Linked DNA regions of Rattus norvegicus. The protein of the gene in region 3 interacts with the protein of the main gene of each other region in a pairwise test. Links are inferred from orthologs where the notes say so. Each region holds a gene or a part of one and is shown on either strand. Other genes may lie near its edges. The genes, in order: Smc3, Smc2, Traf3ip1, Sptbn1 and Golga4.

Region 1 (4,146 bases), on a different chromosome or scaffold from region 3:
ACACAACACACACATAAAATAGTAAAATTTAGGAACTCTTCAAGAATTCAAATAAAATTCAAAAGATTTGAACAAGTTTCAGCAGAGACATATACAAATGAGTGACAAACACAAAAGTTCATAAAAAAGTTGCTAACATCACTGGTCCTCAGAAAAATGCAGATTAAAACCTTTACTGAGACTTTCACACTCACATAAAGAAAAGGGGGTGTACAGCAAGTGTCTGTGAAGATGGACTCTCTTAGGCAAAGCCTGACGGCCCTCAATGTTGAAATTAGTTAGTCTGTGACAAACACCAGCACTCCTAGACAGTCAGGAGAAACAAGTTCACACACACACACACACACACACACACACACACACACACACACACACACGGCCAGCACTTCTAGGCAGTCAGGAGACACACACACACACACACACCCCGGCAGCATTATCTACAGAAGCGAAAGGTAGGACCACGGATAAGCAAGCCTCGCTCGGTGCATATCCCCAGCAGGACAGTCTGCAATGGGAAACAATACAGGACTGACCCATTACCTGAGGGGCAAACCTCGCCAACACTGTGCTGTGAGAGCCACGGTGTCCGTATGATCCACACGAACTGACCACACTGTGAAGCCATTGTGGTCACCAGAGGCTGAGAGGAGTGAGTCCATTCATACCTACAGTTCTAAAACTATGAAAATGACTGTGCAATCCTCGGTGCACTAACATCATGGACTGCACACGGGCACACATGGTGAATTTTATGGTGTGTGAATGGCAAAGCCAGTTAAAGACAAAGGCCCCCAAAGACCTCACGGTGAACGTGGCCTCAGCAATACAAGTTTACTTTTTTGTGGTCCTAGAACTGAACAGGGCTCAGCCGTGCAAGGCACGGGCTCTCGGAGCTGCCTCCCCAGCCAGTATAAAAATGTCTCTCTCCAGAAACTGCCCTGACTCAGCAGCAAGGAAACTGCATGGCTCACTTATTTGTGGCATCAGCATCTGAATCCCACTTAAAACTGCTTTCCCAAACCCATGACTCTGGTGAAAGTGGAGTCACATTAACTTTAGTGCTGAGGGGGACTGCAGAGACGGCTCAGGGGTAGCAGCACTGGTAGCTCTGAGTGGTCCTGTGTTGGCTCACAAATGTCTATAACCCCCCTGAGACTCAGTACCCTATTCTGGTGCATGGATGTACACACAGACAAAAATGCCTAAAGGCCTTATCATGCTGCATAACAGCAGGGCTAGCAGTCCTCAAGACTGCACCACCCAAGGAACTTCTAAACAAGGTGGCTGGGACAGCATTCCCTCAGGATTGACTGGACTAGCCCAAAACACTTAGCACTGTGACACTTGGAAAATTCAAAACAGATTTGAAAACCCAGTGATGTAATGAACAGAATATGGAACTGTACTTTTAGTCCTCTATTAATCGAAAGCAACGTGTTCTTATGCAAAATATTTATTGAATGTTTCTAACAATTACAAAGACAAAAGGCCACATTTACACTAAGTTAGTCACAAACCAATTATTTAATAGAAGCTATAAAATAATTGGGAATATTTAGAATCTCAAAAGATTTAAAATAGGAGGACACTTACAAAAAGTCGTGTAGGAAATAAAATTCCTCGACTATACGTAGAAATGTAACATTACAGGGGAGCTTATAAAATACAAAGACAAGTATAAAAGGACTGTGTATTCTAAATCCAAAAACTCAGTAATAACCAATTATTATTTTTAAAATTTACAGTTCCCAGGTACGGACCACATTACTATACACATCTTCCAAGACGGCAGGCGTTATCTTTCAGTTAACCATGCGTGGTATCGTCTTCTACAAAGTCTTTGGCCATCTCTGCTGTGATCACGTCGATGTGACTAACCTGAAGAACAGTCAGTGCGAAAGGCTGTTACGTCTCAAAGAAACACACACGTGAGAGCCTGCACCGCACAGGGTGGCATCTAACATACACAGCCTACGGCCTGTACAACCTTGAATCTTACACACCGCGTCCAGTGGCTCTGAAGCGCCGACTGTTAGGCTTCACAGCCCTGTCTGTTGAGTGTGGAAGGGGAAAACGCCTGATCCCAGCACGGCAGAGGCAGAGGCAGGGGCAGGGGCAGGGTTGCCCACCTGGGCAGCCTGAGCTACGGTGACTTGTTTGGGGGCTGCTGAGGACCAAACCCAAGGCCTTATGATCGCTAGACCAGCAGTCACCACCCACAGCGTTTCCTCTTAATGAAAATCAAGGTAACAAATGGGTGAAAGTTAAGTTTTCCATTTTTGAGGCAGACATCATTTAAATAACAACTTTCTAAGTTTTCTTTCTCTAATATAACAAAATCAAAATAAACATCAACCTAAAACCAAGTAAAATTACCTTATTTCTGAACTTTACACCGTAGAATTTATCAGCAGACTCAAGCAGTTCAGGCCTAAAAGTGGTAGTGATAAACTGGGCGTGTACAGCTAGTTCCATAATCATATCTGTGAAAACAAAGTAACTAATAAACCTCTTATCACACCTGAGAATTTAACAACTAATTATTTTCTGTCTACAATTCAAATCTGTCAAAGCCGCCCATGATTTTTATTGTCTACAAACTATCCAGTAGACTTTCAAAGCACAGACTGCGTGCCACATTCTTATCACTATAAGCAGACCTCTAGCCTAGTGGTGGTACTGGGGGAGCAGGAGGATCAGAGGTTGTTCTAGGCCACGCTACACGACACCGCCTCACACCACAACAACACAACCCTGAAATAGGAGACTTTTAGCACTGACATGGTAGAGCCACATATTTCTTGTACACACAAAATTAATGCTAGCTATCTTCCTAACGTCACTCCCTCCAAAAGCTTTCAACCTGTAAGATCAGACTTAGTATCTTAAATAAAAGATTGGGTGTTTCTGTACAAATGTTTTGCCTGCAGATATACATGTGTGCCCGTACCCTCCCTCAGTCAGTCAGAGAAGGGGTTGGAATTATGGACAGCCATGACCACACCGTATGGTTGCTTGAAGCCAAACCTATGTTCTCCTGCAAGAGCAGGCAACGATCTTAACTGCTAAGTCACCTCCAACCCCACAGCACTACTAACACTGAAAAGACAGTCAAGTTTTAAGGCTCTTGTATGAAAATTTAATGGAAAATTTAATTACTATCTGTCAAAAGTAAACTCTGAAAACAGTCTAATACCAAACTATTAAAACTATTCTGAGAAAGGATATTGAATATATACTGTACTCGCATTAACGAATGACTAAGGGCTAAGCGACATCATCATCAAGACATCTCAAGGAGACAGGGCTCAGTGCATCCCAGACTGGCCATCAACTGATCACCTTCTGAATGCTAAGAACACAGACAAGGGCGACCTTGCCCAGGTTATGCAGTCAAGCCCATGGCTCTGTGTGTACGCGTGTGTAGGTCAGATAACTTATGGGAATTAGTTTTCTTCCACTCCGTGGGACTAAGGGACTGGAGTAAGGTTCCCAGGCTTAGTGGCAAAGAACTTTTATCAACTGAGCTGTCTTGGTGGCCTCCCATCTCACTGAACCTGAAGCCCCTGGTTTGGGTTCGACTGGCTGGCCTTTGGGTTCCCAGGATCGTGTCTCCATGTGCTACCTGTTCACATGGTAGGCACTTTAGTCCCCATCTCCCCAGCCCACAGTTAAGTCCTCACTGAGTAGAAATTAGAACTGTACCTGACACAGCTTTTCTGTGCTGAGCATCCAAAGCTTGGTCGATCTCATCAAACAGGTAGAAAGGAGCAGGGTCACACTTCTGAATGGCAAAAATGAGAGCAAGGGCTACCAGAGACTTCTGCCCTCCTGAAAGCTGCTGCATTTCTCTCATCTCGCCTTGCTTTCCTGTAAATGATACCTAAGAGAATACAAAGAGTGTTATCACCTCAAAAGAGATGACACCATCATCCACCAAAACTAAGGGGCACATGAGCAGTTCAGGTAAAATGAAACATGAACTCTACTATGACGATGCTACAAGAAAAACTGAGTGTAGAGATTTTACCCTGATCCCGACTCCTGTGAACTGGTCAACTGATGGAACGCTGCTTTGTGACCCAGAGCCCCTCTCGCTCTCGCCGCTCCCCTCTCCTTCGTCCTGAGACTGGCTGCCCTCCACGT
Region 2 (5,025 bases), on a different chromosome or scaffold from region 3:
TATTCTAATTCATTTGTTTGGAGCTCTTAACTAGGATAGTACAATATTTATCTAACATTAATTTTTGGTAACTTCTCTGTTTTTAGGGACCCAGAGAAGAACTGGAATCGAAATTGTGTAAAAGGACTTGTAGCTTCTCTGATAAATGTGAAAGATAATTCTACAGCCACAGCTCTGGAATTGGTGGCTGGAGAACGACTCTACAATGTTGTAGTAGACACAGAGGTAAATGGATTTTAATTAAAGAAAATTTAAGATTAATACTCTGACTTAAAAAAAGAATCACGTAATGCTGGAAAAGTTGTGTGCTTTTGTAGCTCTCCAAGCTACTTAATCTTTTTAGTTAATTTTCTGACAAATTTAATTCTTATTTATTTTCTATTTTGCTGTGCATATTTATATTTGCATTTGTAAAATAATCTGTCAGTTTTTATTACAGTAACATTTCTGTGTGTGTTATTTGCTTGCACACACAGTGTATATGTGTGTGTACACACAGAAGCCAGGAGAAGGCATCCTCCGTAAACATTGTATTTCCAGATGCAGTTCCCTTTCTGATTGCAGACTTGCACCCCTTTACCTGCTTCTGTGCGCTTGCTCCTCCTCACCACACCTCGCCTCCTGTTCTAGCTACATCAGCTTTTCCTTTTAAGATGCTGTATGCAGATGGCATTGTACAGTAATTTTTCTGACATACATCACTGAGCAAAACACTGATCAAATTCATTTACATGCCCACAAAAACATCTTTAGTAAGGTTGAATTATAATTATTTTATATACTTTGAAAATCTACCTTGGGAAAAACACACCACGGATATATTTATTTGATAATGTATTCCTAAACTTGTATACATTCCATTATAGTGTTTTTTTCTTACAATTTAATATGTCTGTTTTAGGTTACTGGTAAGAAACTATTAGAAAAGGGGGAATTGAAGCGTCGATACACAATAATTCCTCTCAATAAGATTTCAGCCAGATGTATTGCTCCTGAAACTCTGAGGGTCGCTCAGAATCTTGTAAGTCTTATTGTCTTAATTAAATGTTTATCTCTTCTTTTAGCTTTAGGAAATAGTAATTTTAAGGGATATACTCAGGTAGAATTCTGGTCAACTGATAAGATGGCCCCTATTGTAATGTATCTGCTAATAAGAAAATAGATGTGTATAAGGAAATACATTTTTATTTTACCATACGTTTTTATTATTTTTTAAAAGAATTAGTTTTATTATTATTTGTTTTATTTAAGGATGTGTATGAATATATGCTCATGTCCTTGGATGGCCTGGAGCAGGGGTTATAAGCTGCCTGACTGGGTACTGAGAACAGAACTGTCCTAGAGGAACAGCTAGTATTCTGAACAGCCTTCTCTCTAGTGCCCCATTTTGGGTGTTGAACACTGACTAAAAACATGAAGCTGGGCTGGAAAGATGCCTCAGCTGTTGAGAGAACTGGCTGTTCTTCCTGAGGATCCAGGTTCCATTCCCAGTACCTACGTGGCACCTCATTAACTCGAATTTCAGGGGGGTTTACCACACTCATACAGGTATACATGCAGGAAAACACCAACTCACTTAAAGTCATTTTAAAGAAGAAGCCAAATATGTCTTCAACAAAACGAGCTTATTAGAGAGTAGCTTTATAAGGGTTTGAGTTTGAGTTATGTGAAACCCAGAAATGGCATTGGTAGTTAAGACACTAAGCAGATAGTCAGTGTCTTTAGTATTATTGAGAACATTTCAATCAAATAATTTCAAAATGCCCTTGTAGTTGAAAGTGCTTTTTAGTTTCGTGGTGAGTTGGAATTTCAAACACCTTCAAGAACGCTTTGTCTTAGAGTTTGTAGCGAGGTCTGTTAATGGTGTCTGCTGGATCAAAAGAAGTTCTGAACATGGTGCTATTATTGTTGTTTTGCTCTTGTCATAACGATGCTAAGTTTCTGAGAACATGGGAAAGTGCATGAAGAGACTGTGATTGCAGTGGAAGACTAGGGCTTTGCCTGTTCTTTTATCCTTTCGGTTAGTCATTGCATTTATTTTTGGTTTTTGAAAGTGGCTATAGTTCATTTGAATAAAAAAGCATTCACTGAAACAAATTACTAATAATTGAAACCAAATATTCTGTAACTATGCTGATAGAGAGATTACTTTCATTAATAGTTGTATTTATATAGGCCATTTAGATGTGCAAACTTGGTATTGCCTTCTTGAAAGAAACTTACAGTGCTTAGGAGTTTGTGTTTTGTGGGGGATTTTGCTGTTGTTTTTCTTCCAATACAAAGTTTTTCTGTGTAGCCCTGGCTATCTTGGAACTTGTTCTGTAGACCAGGCTGGCCTCAAACTCAAAGATCCACCTGCCTTTGCCTTCCAAGGGCTGGAATTAAAGGGGTGAGCTACCCCCACCCTAGCGCTTAGTATTTAAACTGTTTCAGTTGGTGATAGGTCTTCCAGTGTTAAAATTTACTGTAAATAAACAAATTATCACTAGGACTGTGTAATTTATATATTATTGCAGTTTTTACTAGTTTATATTTCAAAGAAATGTGTCCTGTGATACATATTTTGTTTCCCTGTAGGTTGGTCCTAACAATGTTCATGTAGCTCTTTCCTTGGTTGACTACAAACCAGAACTTCAGAAAGCGATGGAATTTGTCTTCGGAACAACATTTGTTTGTAACAATATGGATAATGCCAAAAAAGTGGCCTTTGATAAAAGAATAATGACCAGAACTGTAACCCTTGGGGGTGATGTATTTGATCCTCATGGAACATTGAGTGGAGGTATGTTGTGTTAACAATTCTGTGGTAAATAGTTTGTGCCTCTGAGGCTGTTTCTCTATCTCCCAGTTGCTTTTTAAAGGACAGAATAGTGTCAAAGCCCTTAAATGGCTTATGATCCATTATCATGAATCAACTCAGTAGCTCATTCCTCTAAAGTCATTCCTGTTTGTTCTTGGTCCAAGAAGGCTGGCCACACTCACTCCAACAAGGCCAGAGCTCCTAATAGTGCCACTCCCTGGGCCAAGCAGATACAAACCATCACAGATAGTGGTGGACATAGGGGCTTGCTTCTGCATACTTTCTGCTCAGTTGCAGTCACAAAGGTTTTTTTACTTTGTAAAATCTTAGCCTTATTACCCATTTTCCCAAGAAATTGAATAACTCACTTTGCAGTGTGCTGTTATCCATGTTGAATCTTGAAAATGGTGCCTTAATGAATTGAAAGTAATGATTATTCTCTAATACTCTGGCCTAATAATATAATAACAATGAATAATTATTCTGTACCAGAAAATATTGAAAACAGTGTTACCCCAAGTACAGTATCCACTAGCCACATGTGACTTCACAATTGATAAAATGAAAGTAATTGTTTTTACTTGCACTAGCTGCTTTTCAGGGTCCTAAAACAAATAGTGAACTCGTAATTGGATAATACATGTATAGTGAATTTTATAAAGCCCCAGTCTGTGAGCCTTATGAATATATAAATATGAGTCTGTATATTGTGAATTTATGAATACATAAATAATCCTTAACTTTAAGATAGGAATATAATATCAGTATATTAATCAGAATATCTCTGATACGTAGTGGCAGAAATTAAAAACCACTAGTTAAGTAACTTAGTAATTTGCACAAGTTTGGAGTTAGAATCCCAGAAGTCTGGTTGTAGCTTGTATTCTTCACCTAATTTAATATCTCTTCAAATGTTCATTTGAAAGCCTTGCTGTCGTTTATGTATATGATGATGCATGTGTGTTTATGTGTGTGGTTGTCCTCAGAAGGCAGAATCTGGCATCAGATCTCCAGGAGCATGTAGGTAGTTGTGAGCTCTCCAGTGTGGGTGCTAAGAACTAAACTCTGCTTCTGTGCATGAGCAGGAAATACTCTTAATCCCTGAGCCATTTCTCCAGCCCAAGACTTAGCGTCTGTGTAGGCCAGTTGTATTAATTAAGTGATCAAGTATCCCACTTCTAAAACATCATCAATGAGTACTGTCTGCATAGGAGATAATAATGTAAAGCAGAAGACAGTCTTGAGAGTTTGTTTCAGATGTGCTTGGAGTTTCTGTTTAAGCAGTGCCATGTGTATGATACTGTATTTATTAGCTCTAATGGCATCCTTCCATCCAACTACAGAGCTTCCTTGTTAGCATAGTATTTCAAACTGTCACTGCTAGATGGGTATCTTTGCCTGTACAGTATGTAAAGGCAGTTTATTCTGATGATTTTCCTGCATCTCGAGAGTCTCAGGCCAAGTTATAAGGTGGTAACATAATAGCTCTGTTGGCTTGAGCTCGTTTATCTCATACATATTACATTTACACAGGTCATTTGACTCTGCTGCCTGGTCTCGTACCGTAACTCCTTCTGAAGAATTCCTCTGCTCAGCATGTTTTCCTTAGGGCAAATGGTAAATTATATACTAACGCTCAAGGGTTAGGTTTTATTTTCATTGGACAGAACAAATCACATGGCCAAGTTCAGTGTCTGGAGTGAAAACTTTGCCTTAGCAAGATAGATCCCATAGACAGAACAGTTATTTTGATCAGTAAACTACCACCATGTCTACCAAGGATTGCTTTTTATCAGTTACGTGTTTATTAAGACTTGGGTATTGGAGTAGACTCCTTCTCATCATAAGTTCACTGCAGGGTTTGCTGTTTCATCATTTCTAGTATAATTCTTTGAGAAAAGAATGTTTACTAAGGATATGGTAACTTCGTATCCAAATCCTCTGTTAACTCAATCCAGGTGCTAGGTCCCAGGCGGCTTCTATTTTAACCAAGTTTCAAGAACTCAAAGATGTTCAAGCTGAGCTGAGGACAAAGGAGAAAGAACTGCAGGCTCTGGAAGAGGAATTGGCTGGTCTTAAAAATGTCGCTGAAAAGTAAGTCTGTATTGGATTAAGCTATACATGTTCTGCATGATGGAAATTTATTGGAATTTGACTATCTGATTATTTTTAATGTTAGAATATATTTTGAGTTTAATTTTTTTACCTACTTTTTTTTTCTGATT
Region 3 (5,580 bases):
CTGTAAAGGTGGGATTATTGCACACACTCACACGCGCACACATACATGTGCCTGTTCATGTGAAGGTCAGAGATTCACCTCAGGACACCATCTATTCAGTGTTTTGAGACAACGTCTCTGGGCCCTAAAGCTCACCCATTTCCCTAGGCTACCTGGTCAACGAGTACCTCTCCAGCTCTGGGATCACCAGTATACACGTCAGCCAGCTTTTCACATGGGTGCTGGGGGATACCACCCAGGTCTGCACGTCTGCATGGCAAGCACTTTACCAGCTACCTCTACAGCCCCTAATTCTGCTTTTCAGTAGATAAATCTAGCATAGCATGCAATTGTCACAAATGGGAAAATGAAACAAGAGAAGGTACATATAACTCAGGAATCCACCAGCCTTGCATTCCACATCTATCAGCGTAGACACGGCACACAGGAGTGTGCAGCCATATAAATAAATGAATAGAGCCCAGAATAAAATGGGCTCTATTCTGCAAAGCAAGAGTGTGGAGAAAGGGAACCTACCTTGACGTTATCTGACTTCATCTCAGCATCTGTGTAGAGGCCCTTCATGAAGCCAGTTATCCTAATCACCTGCCAAACAGAGAGGGACCATCATTCACCTCACTCCGTAGCCCCTTCACTGACCTCATCCACTGAACCCCACTGAGGAGAGGTCAGGACCCAGTCACACCTACAGCTCTAATCTTCATCTCCTTCCTCAACAAAGGTTTGATGCCTGGAGAACAGCCAGCTATGAGACAGCCAAGACTACCATCACTGAGCAGGTGTTAGGAAGTTCACAGTAGGGGAAGGAGGGCCAAGGGATACTGGAAGAGCATCCCACTGAGGTCAGAGACTGCAAGGAAAAGCTGGGAAGAACACACCAAACAAAAAGAAAACAACCACCAAGTTCAGTCCAACAGGTTTCATTAGACGGATGAAAGCCAAATGGGGTGGCAGGACCCTGAACCTGACGCCGCAATCAGTCACACTAGGCCTGAGAGGACCTGACCACACAACCCTTCCCCACTGCACTCAGACCAAGCCACGGGAATGGACTCCAGAAAGAAAAGGAGCTACTTAGCCTGAGTATCTGAAACCAGAAGCTCCTGAAGAGTCCCTCATTTCTACCATAAAGGAGTGTTCTCCCATCCAAACATATTTGTTCTCTTTCCACAGGGCCTCTTCCTGTAGCCCTAGTTACCACTACAGAAGGGCAATAATTTTCTGATCCGCCAATGCCCCTACATCCAGCCAGAGTCCTGGATTCTCAAAAGTGCAAGTTACTAAAAAATCAGTAAGACAGGTAACAGAAATAAATTAAAAAAAAAAAAGACATCAAGAATGTGAATGTGGTGCTTAGTAAGGACTTTATGACCAGACTTGCAATACATAGAAACATGTTACCATGGGTACAGGAGGCAGGCTTTAAAAAACACCAGCAGCAAGACATCCCCGCGTGAGTGTCACCTCCTCAGGGATGTGGCTACAGCTACTCTGGCTGCATCATCTAGTTATTAATTAATCTAGAAGAGTCCATCTCACAGCAAACTACAGAAAGATGAACTGCTGGGCTCGGCTGGGCTTGTGCTAGGTCATTTTGAAGAGACAGCTGGCTGGCACACAGACCACCAGAGCATCCCTATCTAACATTTCTGAAAACTCACTTTCTCACAGAACTCACAGAAAGGGTCAGTCCCTTTCTCAGACCTTCCAGGATAGGCTACGAATGCCTCCCAGTCTGGGAGAGGAGGCTACCAGGCAGCAGAGCCCCTTGGGATGTGGGTGGATTCCAGAGCATTTCTGGACACACCTAAGATTGACAGGCAAGGGGCCCTGTTCCGAGAAAGTACCCATTACCAGCTAAGTAAGGTAGGAGGCCAAAATGAGTAAAGAGAAGGGTAGACTACAGTGCTCAACCTCCTGAGACAAGAAAGTCTGTGAGGGTCAACACCAGGAGAGAACTTGAGCTCTGGAGACTGACAGTTCTAAGTCCCAACCACACCCTGAGTTCCACAGCACCCTCTGGAATACCATGCCAATTGTGCTCACCCCCTGCAGTGACACTCTAGGGTTACCAAGAACCCTAACAGACTCCACACAATTGTGACTACTGTACAGTGTTATGTAGCTCCCTGGAGACTCACTAACAAATGGAAGACATGCTCCTTGAAGTCCCAAGACCTAGTGGGCCTGGCAACCTAACATGGAAGGCACCTTTGAGAGCTCTTGCCCAGGCCCCAGACAAGGACCTACACCCTACCCAGGCCTCAAGTATAAGCACAACACAATTTCAGAACTCCAACATACACTCCAGCTCCTTAACAGCAACTTGACCCTGGGCCTAGACTCTGCCCCAGGGCTCTCCCTCACATACCGATGTCATCCCTGGCCTCCACCACCACCCAGCCTCAGCTTCTGGCTCCAGCCCCTGACCCACAAACCTAGACCCTGAACCAGGCCTTATATCTCCACCCAAACCACTTGACCAGCACCAGTTACTCTACCCTGACTCCAACTGGAGCCTAACCCTGACCCTGATCCTCAGCTGGACCTGCACCTCCACCCCTCACCACTCTCTCAATCCAGTCAGCACTCGGAGACTGACTGTCACACAGATCTCCCCACTGACCTGATCCTCATCTTCATCTGAGACTAATCCTCATTCTGACCTGAACCCTGATTGTCACCCTACAACGTCCCTTACACTACCCGGTCCCTCAACGCGACCCTCACGCTACCTAGTCCCTCATCTTGGCCCGACCCTAATTCTGAGTCTCACCCCAATACAAATCCTATTCAGACGCGCATCCTACCTCGATCCTTACCCTACCTGAACCCTCACCCCAACACTCACTCGGTCCCGCACTTAACCCTAACCTTCGACACCGACTCTCACCCCGTCCCATACCCTACTCCAATCCTCAACACGTCCCGCCCCTACTCGAACCCTTAACCCGTCCCACACCTACCCCTACCCTCACCCCATCTCAACCGGATCCTGACCTGACCCGCACTAGTCGGCGCCTACCTCAGTGATGATGTCGTGCAGGTAGCGGAACGGTGGCTTGTTGAGCAGCTTCTCGGTGAGCGGCGGCCTCCGGATAACCTTGCCCAGAGCCTCCTGCGTCCGCCGCACCACTGCCGCGTTCATGGCGCTGCCGCCCGCGACCGCTCGCGCCTCTCCTCGCGCACCGCGCCTCTGCCCGGTGCCTCGAGATGCCCGCCGTCCCGGCGCGCCGGTCTCCCATCCCACAGTGCACCGCTGCTAGCCACTGCGCCTGCGCGTGCCACCAGCACCGGGTCTCTAGGGCCGCGCGGCCTTGGCAACGGACGCGCGCCCGGCCCCGCCCATCCCCTCCGGCCTCTCTAGCTGTGCAGGAGGACAAGCGCGCTCCACCTCTGTGGCTGTTTGAACCTGAACCTGGCTCTGCCCGCCCCGCGCACCGTAGGGCGCCGCACAGAGACCCGGCCATTCCGTGTGAGAAAAGAGCGATCATTTGTTTCTAACGTTTACAGTAACCACTAGGAAAATAACATTTCACTTAAACTTGAAAAATGGACTTGACTCCATTCATCCCTTCATTCCTGTTTCCTGCACAGTAACCCCTGCCTTGGGTTATCTTGAAAATAATGCCAAGGGGAAGGACTGTGTCATTTCACATTTTCTGTGTCCTTAGTTCACCAGGGCGGGCACAAAGCTGTGAAGTAACTAGGCCCTTAGGCTAGGACGCTGCAGTTTTCTGCTCCACACACACACACCCCACCTCCACCCATGTCACCACCCGAGGCAATGTAGGAGGTGGCGCTTCAAGATAGGGGGCTGCTGCTGTGTCTAAGATCTTGAGCTCCTCCGCCCAAATTGGTGGAACCCCAATTAGGACATTGCTCCTGATCTGCCAACCATGGCCACACCCGAGGAACCAGAAACTTCTTTAAGAGCCCTCTCACTCTGAGCCCCAGCTGGAGTTGGTCTCTGAGTGGACAGAGTTCAGAGAGCAGAGGCCCTGCCTCTAAACACTGCCCCGAAGAACAGACCCACCTAGCACCTACCCTAGAAAGTTCACTCTTGGCCGAATCCTGCTGTAGGTGTGAAGTAAAAGTTGTGGTCAGCAACCGGCTTGTCTGTGATGCTGGACCAGATGGGAGCAGGAACACAGGTATCACTTAAGATACCTCTGACCTTGGAAACTCTACTGAGGACCTAGAGCTTAGACCATACAGCAAAGGGAAGGTGATTCTTTAACCTCTCACAGCCTGTGGAGGCAGGACAGTAAGTGGACTATGGTGGAGGCCCAGAATACAGGTCTTGGCTGCTCTTTTGGAGTGCGGGCCATCAGAAGGCCTCCAGCCTATCTGAGTATCCAAGTCTCTGAGGAGATCCAGGACAGGAAGTATTGTCAGCCAACCCCTCTGAGGACTGACCTAGGGGAAGCAACTTTGAAGAGTATAGTTCCATCTTCCAGAGCCTCATCCCTGCCTCTGGTCCAGCCCACCCCTCCATACTGAAGAAAGAGTGGACAACATTCTGGTCACCAAGAAAGCAGGTCCCAGAAGATGTAACCAATTCCTGCTTCAAGAAAGATATCTGGATCTGGGACGTCCCCAATGAAGGATACAGAGGCCAGCATGGAGCCATCAGTCTTGGGGGGGTCAGCAGAGTAGGGGCCTAAATCACCCTCTGAAATGAAGCAGAAAACTGTAAAGACTCATTCATGGTAGAAGGTAACTGATGAAGAATGGAAAAGGGGTTTCTGACTCAAAAGCCTGGCAGGGGAGGCTTTCAATATGAGCAGTTTCTGAGTGAATGAACGAAATAAGGATGGCTGTGCCTCACCCCAGGAAACAGAAGCCACAAAGCGAAGTGTCTTCCAGGCCCTACCTCCCCCAGCTGGGAGGCAAACATTTCCAGAGACAAAGAACTGAGGATGCTGAACCTCACTTCTGCTGAGAGCCCAGGATGTGGGTCAGGCTTGGGCAAGGGCCTGGATTTGGCTAAGCAGGAAGGGAGCAGGAGTCATACAGAGAAGATCAATGTAGCCTAGAGATAGTCTACTATCTGTCTACTAGTCTACTAGCCTACAGGATGTCTACTCCATCTGAATTCCAGGTAAAACATTTTACCATAAATTTATGGCAGTTTTTTTTATTCTTTTATTTGAAATTCATGGCAGTTTTTTTTCATTCTTTTATTTGAAATTCAAAACTGAATACCCTGCAGCTTTTGTTCTCTAAGTCTGCAGCCCTGGTTGTGGCAACCAAAAGTGTGTCTGTGGAGCAGACATGCAGCAGAAGCAGGTACCTCCCACAAGTGAGAGGCCTCGCCTGTCATTTAAGTTAGGGGTACAGAGCAAAGTCCCCATTATTAACGTACAGTCCCAGATGTTTACACCTCCATTGCTGAGCTTCATATCAGTCTAGTGGAAGCTGGAGGAAAAGAGAGAGAGAGAGACAGACAGACAGACAGACAGACAGAGACAGAGAGAGACAGACAGAGAGAGACAGAGAGAGACAGAGACAGACAGACAGACAGACAGACAGAGACAGAGAGAGACAGACAGAGACAGAGACAAAGAGAGAGACAGA
Region 4 (3,879 bases), on a different chromosome or scaffold from region 3:
ACATGGAGGAACATTAGGCACAGAGTAATGTGTTGGTCTGAGCTTGCATGCTGGACTCTTACTAAAGGTAAGAGAAGGGAAGGACAACAGGGAAGTTCACTTCTTCTTGCCGAAAAGGCTGAACCGCTTCTCTTTGTCTTTCTCTTTGTCCTTCTCCCTCTTGCCAGGACTGGACTCGCTGGTGATGGTGACGACGCTGGTGGGTAAGGTCTGCGCTCGGCTGGATGCTGGCGTACTCTGGGTGCTGGCAGACGTGTCGTGCTTGTCAGAGGAGATGGCAGAGGTGATAGCCTGGATCCATGTGTTCATTTCATCCTACGCAGAGGAAGACACAGGTAAGACTTGGTCAAGAGGTGTGGGCATGAGGAGTCCTGGTCTTACCTCCATGATGCTCCATGCCTGGCAGCTGGAATGCTTGGCAGCAGTGCCGCTAACTAGAGTCACTGTCCTTAAATGCCTATCTGCTTTCTCACTACCAGAGTGGCTATGGCTCTGCCTCTAGATGGACTGGCCCCAGTGCTGTGTGCAGGCCGTCAGTCTGGGATATATACACCTACAGAAGCTGGAAGGCTAATCTTAGGCTGTGAGACGTCACTCGCATTAAGAAAGTGCTCTTACTCCTTAAATAAAAAAAAAAAAAACCTTTTCAGTGTGTGTGTGTGTGTGTGTAGACACGAGTTTATACTCATCAGAAGACAGTTTTTCAGAGTTCATTCTCTCTTTATATAAAGTATGTCCTGGGGATCAAACTCAGGTCATCAGCTTTGGTGGCAGGCCCTTCACCAACCAAGCCATCTTACAAGTCCTCACGCCCCCTCCAGAGTTATCTCTCGTGGTGGAAGGGGCCTTTTAACATTTAAATTGCTACACACGCTGTGACACTGAGGTGACCCTGTCTTCTGAGGTGGAGACGCTAATGATAATGCAGTGCAGTGCACAGGCTTTAGACTGGCATCAGGATACACTCAGTCCTGGGCCACCTCCCTGTACCTTGTTCTAAGGAGTAGCAGGCAAGGACCTTGCTCCTCGTTTCTACTGAATCTAGTGGATGTTGTTCTAGCTTCCCTTCCTTATGGAGGGACAAGATGATATTTGCTTCTTTTAGCTCACAAATACTTCCATGAACTTTGGTACGTGAAAAAACAAAACCAAGTAGTAACTTACATCATCTTTGGCTTGGAAGAGGTACTCGTTGCCATCACTTAGTCTGTAATTTCAAGAAAATTACATTTTACAATTATGTAGGTGACAATTTCATATTAGAAAGTTAAAAAATATAAATTAAAAAAAATACAGGCCAGGTGTGGTGATGCACACCTTTATTTAGTTCCAGTAATTGGGAGGCCGAGGTAGGTGAGTTCCAGGCAAGCCTGGTCTATAGCTCGATTTCCAAAATGGCCAGGGCACAGAGGAACTTTGTCTCAAAATACAAAACAGAACCAAAAAAAAAAAACCAAAAAAACAAAAACAAAAAAACCAACCTAAACCAAACAAACAAACAAACAAAAAAAACAAAACAAACAGAACCCCACAATCCCCTTAATCTAGGGTGGGTTACACGCAGGTGGTGGGCTTTACCTCAGAGATACCAATAGAGCTCTACATGGGCTATTGACCAGGCCTAGAGAGGGGCATTAGCCGGACAATGGTCCCTAATCATAAGAAGCCATTAATTTACCAGATAAATCCAATATGCACAGGCAATCTGGTGCTTTAATCCAACAGAAGGATCAAAAAAGTCCAACCTCTGGAAGGTCTGGTTTGGTTATGGCCATTTGGATTCTTAATTGCTGACCAAAAATAAATTCAGGAGAAGACTTCAAAAAAGGTGAATACTCTTCAAATTCTAGTTTCAGAGTTTATGTCTCTCACATCTGCAAATTCTAGAGTTGCCCAACTGATATGGAAAAAAAAGTCCTTTAGATTTTTCTCATGGGAACGAAAGCAGCCACACCTGGGAGGCCATTCCTCAAGACAGCATGTGGTCATCAACCATGTCCCCCCAGGGTGATCCTCTGGCCAACCAAGATGAAGCTCGTCAGATCCAAAGCAACAGAGCCAATCAGCAGCACATGAAGTGACAGGCTGTCAAGAGGCTTTACTTCTGCACTTACAAAGGTATTTTGAAAATATGTGCATGCACACTCGTGAAGGTCAAAAATAACACACAAGAGGACGTTTCCTGTCCTCCTTCCCCTTCCCCTCCTTTTCCTTTCTCCTCTCCTCTCCTCTCCTCCCCTGTCTACCATGAGGGTTTTGAGGAGGGAGGCTATGCAATCAGGCTTGGCAGCAGCACCGTTACCACTGAGCATCCTCTCACCCACCCTGCCTTTTCTTTATCCACTTTTAAGAAACAAAATGGTTTGGCCATCTCCAAACACCATGGTCATGGATGTGGATGTGGTGTGAGGGGGTGTCTTCCACAAGGAGGAGTCATTTGGATGCAGAAGTGTGGCAAGACTTGGGGAGGATGGCCTGTCCCACTCAAGTGCTTCCTGTTGGTTTCCTCAGGCTCTAGGATGACTCGCAGTACCTATCTGTAGCGAACATGGTAATTCCTTAGTCCTCATAAGCCAGAAGGACTCAAAATGGGCTTTTTAAAGCTCCCATTATGTACCGCAATGTTAACAGCCCACAGCAATGTCAGGGAACAGTGTGTTCCAGGTCATGAAACGAAGGCTCCTTTTCCGCTGGGTCCAGATGCACAACCAGGCCCAGGCAAGAGTGGCCTTGGTCCCACAGAATCAATCCAGCAAGTCCAGTAGGCTTTCTCAGGGACTGAGAATAGTAGGAGGAGACACGGCTACCACAGTACCTTTGTGAGAGAGCCAACCTCAGTGAGATGAACACACCCAGACAGCCACGAGCCTGCAAACTCTCACCTTAGCTTGAACACATGCTTCTTCTTCTTGTAATCAAGGGCCACTTCGCAGATGGCCTCTTTCAAACTCACAGGGACCTCACTGTGGTAGGGGACGCCAGAAGCAGCACTCTTGGCATCTTTGTAGAAGCCCATTTCTTGGTTATTTATGACACAATAAACATTGTGCCAGGACCTGAGTGGGTACAGCAGAGAGAGAGGAGTAAAGAGAGGAGTATCAAGGCTCTGTGCTTACCCTTCCCAGAAGAACTTCACAAGAAAACGAAGCCTCTCCAACATAAAATGAACATATGCTGAGGAACAGCCCCTGCCCCAACCCCCTTGGAACAGTGCATACGGCTAAGGAGCACCTGGGGAGGGACGCAGCGCTGTGTTGGAGGACACGTGAGCTGCCGTCCCTTCCGCAACATGTCGCCCTTGAAGCTTTTCACTCCTGTTCAGGAACACAGGCAAGGCTCCTTATTCTCAAGCACAATCTCCCCCAGCCTTAGTGACTGTTTTTTTGTGGTGCAGTACTGACAAGAGGGTAGATCCAGGGTCATTAGTGTTTGTGGAATCCCTTCGGGGGAGCTAGACTCAGGTGTGCGCCAACAGTATGCAAGGGGCATACCGTTAGAATACGTTAACTTAACGAGAACATCAGACTGTAACCAAGCCCTTTGTACAGTGGACACCTCCAACATGTACGGTGGATGCTCCACGTGTATAGTAATTTAAGCACACAGGCTCTGGAATCAGATGTGATTTTCATCTCAGTTTACAACCTCTCAGAGCACCTACTTTCTCATCAGCTAAATAATAAACTTAAAAGACTGGTGGGAGACAGTCATCTCGAGACTCACACAGAGAAGTGAGCATCTGTGAAAGCTGGATCCCATAAGGAACCCTATAAAGAAGTCACTTCACTGTAGGAGATTGTTCAACTTCGCTATAGTGAGTTCCTCCTCAGGATAAGCCTCAGGCCATTCCTGCGATTCTGGCCCACTACATCTCCTCTC
Region 5 (5,025 bases), on a different chromosome or scaffold from region 3:
AAGACAACAAGGTCAGGGAGGCTGAGGAGACGGTCCTGGGGCTGCGGGAGCGCGTGTCCTCGCTGGAAGCTGAACTCCGCGTCGTGAGGAAGGAACTAGACGACGTGAATTCAAGTGTGAAAAGCAGAGACGGGGAGCTGAAAGCGTTAGAAGACAAACTTGAGTTAGAAAGTGCTGCAAAAGTGGAGCTGAAGAGGAAGGCGGAGCAGAAGCTCGCCGCCATCCGGAAGCAGCTCTTGTCTCAGATGGAGGCGAAGGTGCAGCAGTGTGCGAAGGACACAGAGAGCCAGCTGAGTGAGCTGCGTGCAAAGTTACAGGGCAGAGAAAAGCAAATCCACATCCTAGAAGGAAAACTTAAAAACCTAGCAAGTTCCCCACACCCAGAAAGAGCAGTTGTGTCAGGATCCATGGGAAACGTGGCAGCGTCTCCTGAGCAAGAGGCAGCAGATTCCCAAGAGTGCACACAGAAGGCATGCAAGGAGCGAGTCTGCGTGCTGCAGAGAAGTGTGATTGAGAAAGAGAGGCTGACACAGAGGCTGCAGCAGGGCGAACGGGAGGCGGCGCCATCGCAGTCTGAGGTTCGGCACAGGGAGCTCTCCGTGAAGTTAGATCGCGCCAGAGCCAAGCAGCTCGAGGATCAGGTTTTGATAGGATGTCTTCAAGAAGAACTGGAAGAAAGGATGAAGTGTCCCTCAATTCTGTCCCAGCCCATGGGAGAAGAAACCGGTAAAAACAACACAGGGCTGAAGCAGAATTGGGCAAGTATGGTTGACACTGTCCAGAAAACGCTCCAGGAAAAGGAGCTGAGCTGCCAGGCCCTGGAGCGAAGGGTGAGAGAGCTGGAGTCAGACTTAATAACAGAGAGGGACGCCCATAGGCTTGAAGTGGAAAAGTTGACCTTAAAATATGAAAAATCACAATCTCCACAGCAAGAGATGGGTGGGAAAAATACGTCTGTGGAAATTTTGGAAGACAGGCCTGAGGAAAATTCCAAATCCCATGTGATAGAATCGAAACTGGGGACCCCCATGGACGGCCGGCACAGTGACCTGGAGTCGAAGTTAGCAGGGTCAGAGCGGGAAAAGCAGAAGCTGAGCAAGGAGGTGGGGAGGCTGCAGAAAGATCTCCGAGCTCTGAGAAAGGAGCATCAGCAGGAGCTGGACATCCTGAGGAAGGAATGTGAGCAGGAAGCAGAGGAAAAGCTCAAGTAAGTGTTCCCAAAGTCCACGTGTGTGTGTGTGTGTGCGCGTGTGTGTGTGTGTGCGCGTGTGTGTGCGTGTGTGTGTGGGCGCATGGGCACATGCGATGTATAATGTAGACACTTCTACCTGCCCGAAGTATCACATAAGTCTGCTAAGTTAAGTAGTGAGGAGAAATGACAATTTTGGGCTGGAGACAGGGTTATTCCATGTCCGTTTAGGGAACACAGCTTTTGCTGCAGGTAAGATCACAGCTGCTGGCTGCGTGTCTTAAATAACAATCTCATTGCTGTTCTCTTAGGAGTAGCCTTGTGACTGTAGCACGTGTATCTGGGAGAAGTTTAAAGTAGGAAGGAGCGGGTCTCCAGAGCCCAGGTTAGTGCTGAAGGTAGTCATAGTTTTTCAGTCTTGCAGTGTGCGCACTGTTGTGTACACACACACACACACACACACAATGATTTCAACAGCAGTGAGGTCTCATTCTTCTGAAGCCTGTTTCCTGTTTGCAACTTGCTCTGTGGAGGCAGCAGTCATCGCTGTCCATTCTTGTTACTCAGACAGGAGCAAGAGGATCTTGAGTTGAAGCACAGCTCCACACTGAAGCAGCTGATGCGGGAGTTTAACACCCAGCTGGCACAGAAGGAGCAGGAGCTGGAGAGAACTGTCCAGGAGACCATCGGTAAGCAGCTTTAAGCTCAGCGGGAACGACCCTCAGTTGGAACTTATTGTCTTTTCCATTGTAGTGGGCACTGTACGCCATTAAACTCAAGGGAAAATGGCCCTTGTCCAAACAGTGCTCCTGTTCTCCGGAAAGTCCTCCAACCTGCCTCACCTGTTACTCCCTTGCCTTTGGTGAGAAGCAGCATCTCCCACACCTGTTCTGCTGCATTTCATCAACTTTAATTGAAATGAGAAATTCCTCCTGTCCTTGTCGTATAGTCACACACGTGTTCTCATGTGTGTCTGTCCTTTATTAGATAAGGCCGTATAGTCACACACGTGTTCTCACGTGTCTCTTGTCCTTTATTAGATAAGGCCCAAGAGGTGGAAGCTGAACTTCTGCAAAGCCACCAAGAAGAGACACAGCAGCTGCATAGAAAGATTGCGGAGAAAGAGGATGATCTGCAAAGGACGGCCAGAAGATACGAGGAGATACTTGATGTACTGTGTTCTCATTCTCTTTGAAACATAGCAGTGTTTTACGGTGGTGCTGAGTAGTCTGGCTTCTCTCGTGCACAGACGTCTGAGAGAGAGACTGAAGTGAGGCTTTGTGCTTGGGTTAGGTCTGAGAACTAGAGCAGCCTGTGTCTGAGGCAGCTCAGCCTAGCCAAGGTCTCCCCAGAACAGTAACCAACCTCCTTCCTTCCTTCTCCACTCACTTCAGAGCTTGACTGTGTGGAGAGGGGGATTTATCAGCTGAGCGTTTAGTGTTCAGTAGATGCTATTCAGAGTGGCTTGGCAGTAGCAGAATAGAGTAAACCATAAACGAGAGGGAGAGCTTGGACCACAAGCATGTTTTCAGATACAATGCTGTCACTTACTCTTTGGTGGTGTGTTACTCTGTAAGACCTCCAGGCCTTACTACGCCGTACGCCAGGAGACACTTGTTGGTCCCAAAGAGCCATACCTACTTTGGCTGTGTCAGCAGTGCGTGTGTGAGTGAGGGATGGACAGCAACGGTCATTGCTTTAAATGCAATCGAACTGAGTGAAGTCTCAGGATCTGGAGTGCCATCTTTGTGCAGCATGTAAGCTTTAAATCTCATTAGGAAAATTAAAGTAATTGCAAATTTGTGCTGAATTTTAAAAAATACAGTCAGGGGGCTGAAGGGATGGCTTGGTGGTTAAGAGCTCTGACTACTCTCGTAGAGGATCCAGGTTCTGTTCCCAGCACCTGAATGGTGGTTCACAGCTAACTAACTCCATTTCCAGAGGAGTGGTGTTTTTCTGTGCTCTGTGGGCACCGCACATGCATGGTACACATAAATTCCTGGCACATAGATAATAAATGCATTGTTAAGAAACCCATTGATGTGTTGGTGCCAAAGATTCTGGCACTTCAGGAGCTGGGTTAGGAGGATCAGGAGTTCAAGGCCAGCCTGAGCTCAATAAGACTTTGTGACTCCTTATGGAGTGTTTTATGGCCCAGTGTATCTAGTGCACCTGATGTAGAGTGTAGTTCTGTCTTCTCACATCTGTTACTGTGCTTTTGTTTTGTTTCTATACAGAAGGAAAGGCAACCTTAGTATAGTTAAACGATTTGCCTAACACTGTCTATTGAGTTCCAGAATAGAGATTCATCATTACCTTCACACATTTCATAAATGTCCCAAGAAAGGAACTTTAAGAAGGTAACAGCTAGTGTGTGTGTGAGAAAATTCAAGCCTGAAAGCTTCAGGGAGGGAAGTAGCTCTTTTTTTTTTTTTTTTTTTTCCTGATTCCTCCTCTGTATATGGACATGTGGGTGCTAAGGGAATAGACTGTTCGCCTCTGTGGTCTTGGGTGAGGAACAGGAAGATAGGTAGCTGCAGTACTCTGGAAGCTGTGGAGGGAAGTGGAGAGCAGCCCTGCAAGCTGCATTTGTGGGGCAGCAGTGTACGGGGACTGACTGACTGACTGACTGATGGATTGAGGTGTGTTCTTGCCCAAGGTCCTTCCTCAGTCTGATGGCTAGCATGGCCTTTGCACACTTAATAAGTGAGCATCTTCTCAGAGCTGCATTTTAGAAAGGGGGCTTCATTTTAGTAGTATGTATCAGTTGGTTTACCCAATCAGATGGAGTGCTTGCCCTGTGAGTCAGCATGGGGGTACAGGCCAGCTCTGAGGACTCCGAGCAAAGCTGCTCTGTCCTCCTTTTCCCGCTGACAAGTTGCAGCCATGCTGACCATAGGCTACTGCACTTTCCTCGTCCTTTATGATAGTCCGTGATGTATTAATAGAACGTTTCAGCCCCCTCCCGATCTTAGATGTTTCTTTTTGTTGTTGGTTTGGTTTGGTTTGGTTTGGTTTGGTTTGGTTTGGTTTGGTTTGGTTTGGTTTGGCTTGGTTCGGTTTTTTGAGACATGATCCCATGTAGCTTGTGCTGGCCTTGGTCTTACCGTGTTGCTGAAAATGGCTTTGATCACCAGCTTCTACCTCCTGTGCAAGGGCTGTTGGCCACCCTTTCAGGTAACATTCATACCTCCCACATATGAAGAATGGAAACTTGCTTTTGCTTCACATGTCGTTAGGCATGTGCGTTATACACAAGTGCATTTGTGTAGTTAGGGTGACAGATGTGTGTGTGTCCCTGGCATGGTGTCAGCATGTGCTGTACTCTCAAGACCTTGTCACAGAGTCATGACTCGTGTTCTGCCTCTCTGGACTGCACTGTTGCTGCCAGCGAACGCTGTCCTCTCATCCAGTCTGCTGTGGTCACCTGATCTCCTAGCTGCTGAGCTCCCTTCCTGTCAGTGTGTGTCCTGTGCTGTCCTCTGACAGTGCAGGTGCCCAGGGAGGCTGTGCTCTCCATGAGGTCTGTACTAGCCTCAGCTGGAGCCAGCTCTTCGCTCGCATCACCGTTGCCCATGCTCCGAGTCTGCATGTGATACCTCTACTCTGCGGCTTGTGTGGCTGTGCTGGTCGGAATGAGATTGGGTCTCGTAGGCTCCCATATTTGAACAGCAGTCTAGTCGGTGGGTGTTTGAGTAGGATTAGCAGGAAGTATGGTTTTGTTGGAGAAGGTGTCACTGGGAGTACCTTTGAGGTTTCAAAAGTTCATGCCAGATCAGGTGACTAGATCTCTGCCTGCTGCCTTCGGATCAGGATGTGGCTCTCAGCTACTGCTC

The links.
Region 1: the proteins of Traf3ip1 (region 3) and Smc3 interact in a two-hybrid assay, tested with the Homo sapiens proteins (2 studies listed by BioGRID and IntAct). The link is inferred for Rattus norvegicus from reciprocal best matches to the Homo sapiens genes TRAF3IP1 and SMC3.
Region 2: the proteins of Traf3ip1 (region 3) and Smc2 interact in a two-hybrid assay, tested with the Homo sapiens proteins (2 studies listed by BioGRID and IntAct). The link is inferred for Rattus norvegicus from reciprocal best matches to the Homo sapiens genes TRAF3IP1 and SMC2.
Region 4: the proteins of Traf3ip1 (region 3) and Sptbn1 interact in a two-hybrid assay, tested with the Homo sapiens proteins (2 studies listed by BioGRID and IntAct). The link is inferred for Rattus norvegicus from reciprocal best matches to the Homo sapiens genes TRAF3IP1 and SPTBN1.
Region 5: the proteins of Traf3ip1 (region 3) and Golga4 interact in a two-hybrid assay, tested with the Homo sapiens proteins (2 studies listed by BioGRID and IntAct). The link is inferred for Rattus norvegicus from reciprocal best matches to the Homo sapiens genes TRAF3IP1 and GOLGA4.

The regions. Positions count from the first base shown.
Region 1 is NC_086019.1:262,647,124-262,651,269, reverse strand, and holds the end of Smc3 (structural maintenance of chromosomes protein 3), read right to left. Parts: coding exon 4,031-4,146; intron 3,884-4,030; coding exon 3,706-3,883; intron 2,484-3,705; coding exon 2,377-2,483; intron 1,879-2,376; coding exon 1,807-1,878; 3' UTR 1,438-1,806; downstream 1-1,437. UniProt on the Homo sapiens protein: Central component of cohesin, a complex required for chromosome cohesion during the cell cycle. The cohesin complex may form a large proteinaceous ring within which sister chromatids can be trapped.
Region 2 is NC_086023.1:71,621,996-71,627,020, forward strand, and holds part of Smc2 (structural maintenance of chromosomes protein 2), read left to right. Parts: intron 1-86; coding exon 87-225; intron 226-901; coding exon 902-1,021; intron 1,022-2,577; coding exon 2,578-2,782; intron 2,783-4,758; coding exon 4,759-4,894; intron 4,895-5,025. UniProt on the Homo sapiens protein: Central component of the condensin complex, a complex required for conversion of interphase chromatin into mitotic-like condense chromosomes.
Region 3 is NC_086027.1:99,518,863-99,524,442, reverse strand, and holds the start of Traf3ip1 (TRAF3-interacting protein 1), read right to left. Parts: upstream 3,268-5,580; 5' UTR 3,149-3,267; coding exon 3,026-3,148; intron 586-3,025; coding exon 517-585; intron 1-516.
Region 4 is NC_086032.1:108,043,634-108,047,512, forward strand, and holds part of Sptbn1 (spectrin beta chain, non-erythrocytic 1), read right to left. Parts: intron 3,057-3,879; coding exon 2,883-3,056; intron 1,208-2,882; coding exon 1,165-1,207; intron 316-1,164; coding exon 97-315; 3' UTR 1-96. UniProt on the Homo sapiens protein: Fodrin, which seems to be involved in secretion, interacts with calmodulin in a calcium-dependent manner and is thus candidate for the calcium-dependent movement of the cytoskeleton at the membrane.
Region 5 is NC_086026.1:127,140,565-127,145,589, forward strand, and holds part of Golga4 (golgin subfamily A member 4), read left to right. Parts: coding exon 1-1,207; intron 1,208-1,756; coding exon 1,757-1,878; intron 1,879-2,229; coding exon 2,230-2,360; intron 2,361-5,025. UniProt on the Homo sapiens protein: Involved in vesicular trafficking at the Golgi apparatus level. May play a role in delivery of transport vesicles containing GPI-linked proteins from the trans-Golgi network through its interaction with MACF1. Involved in endosome-to-Golgi trafficking.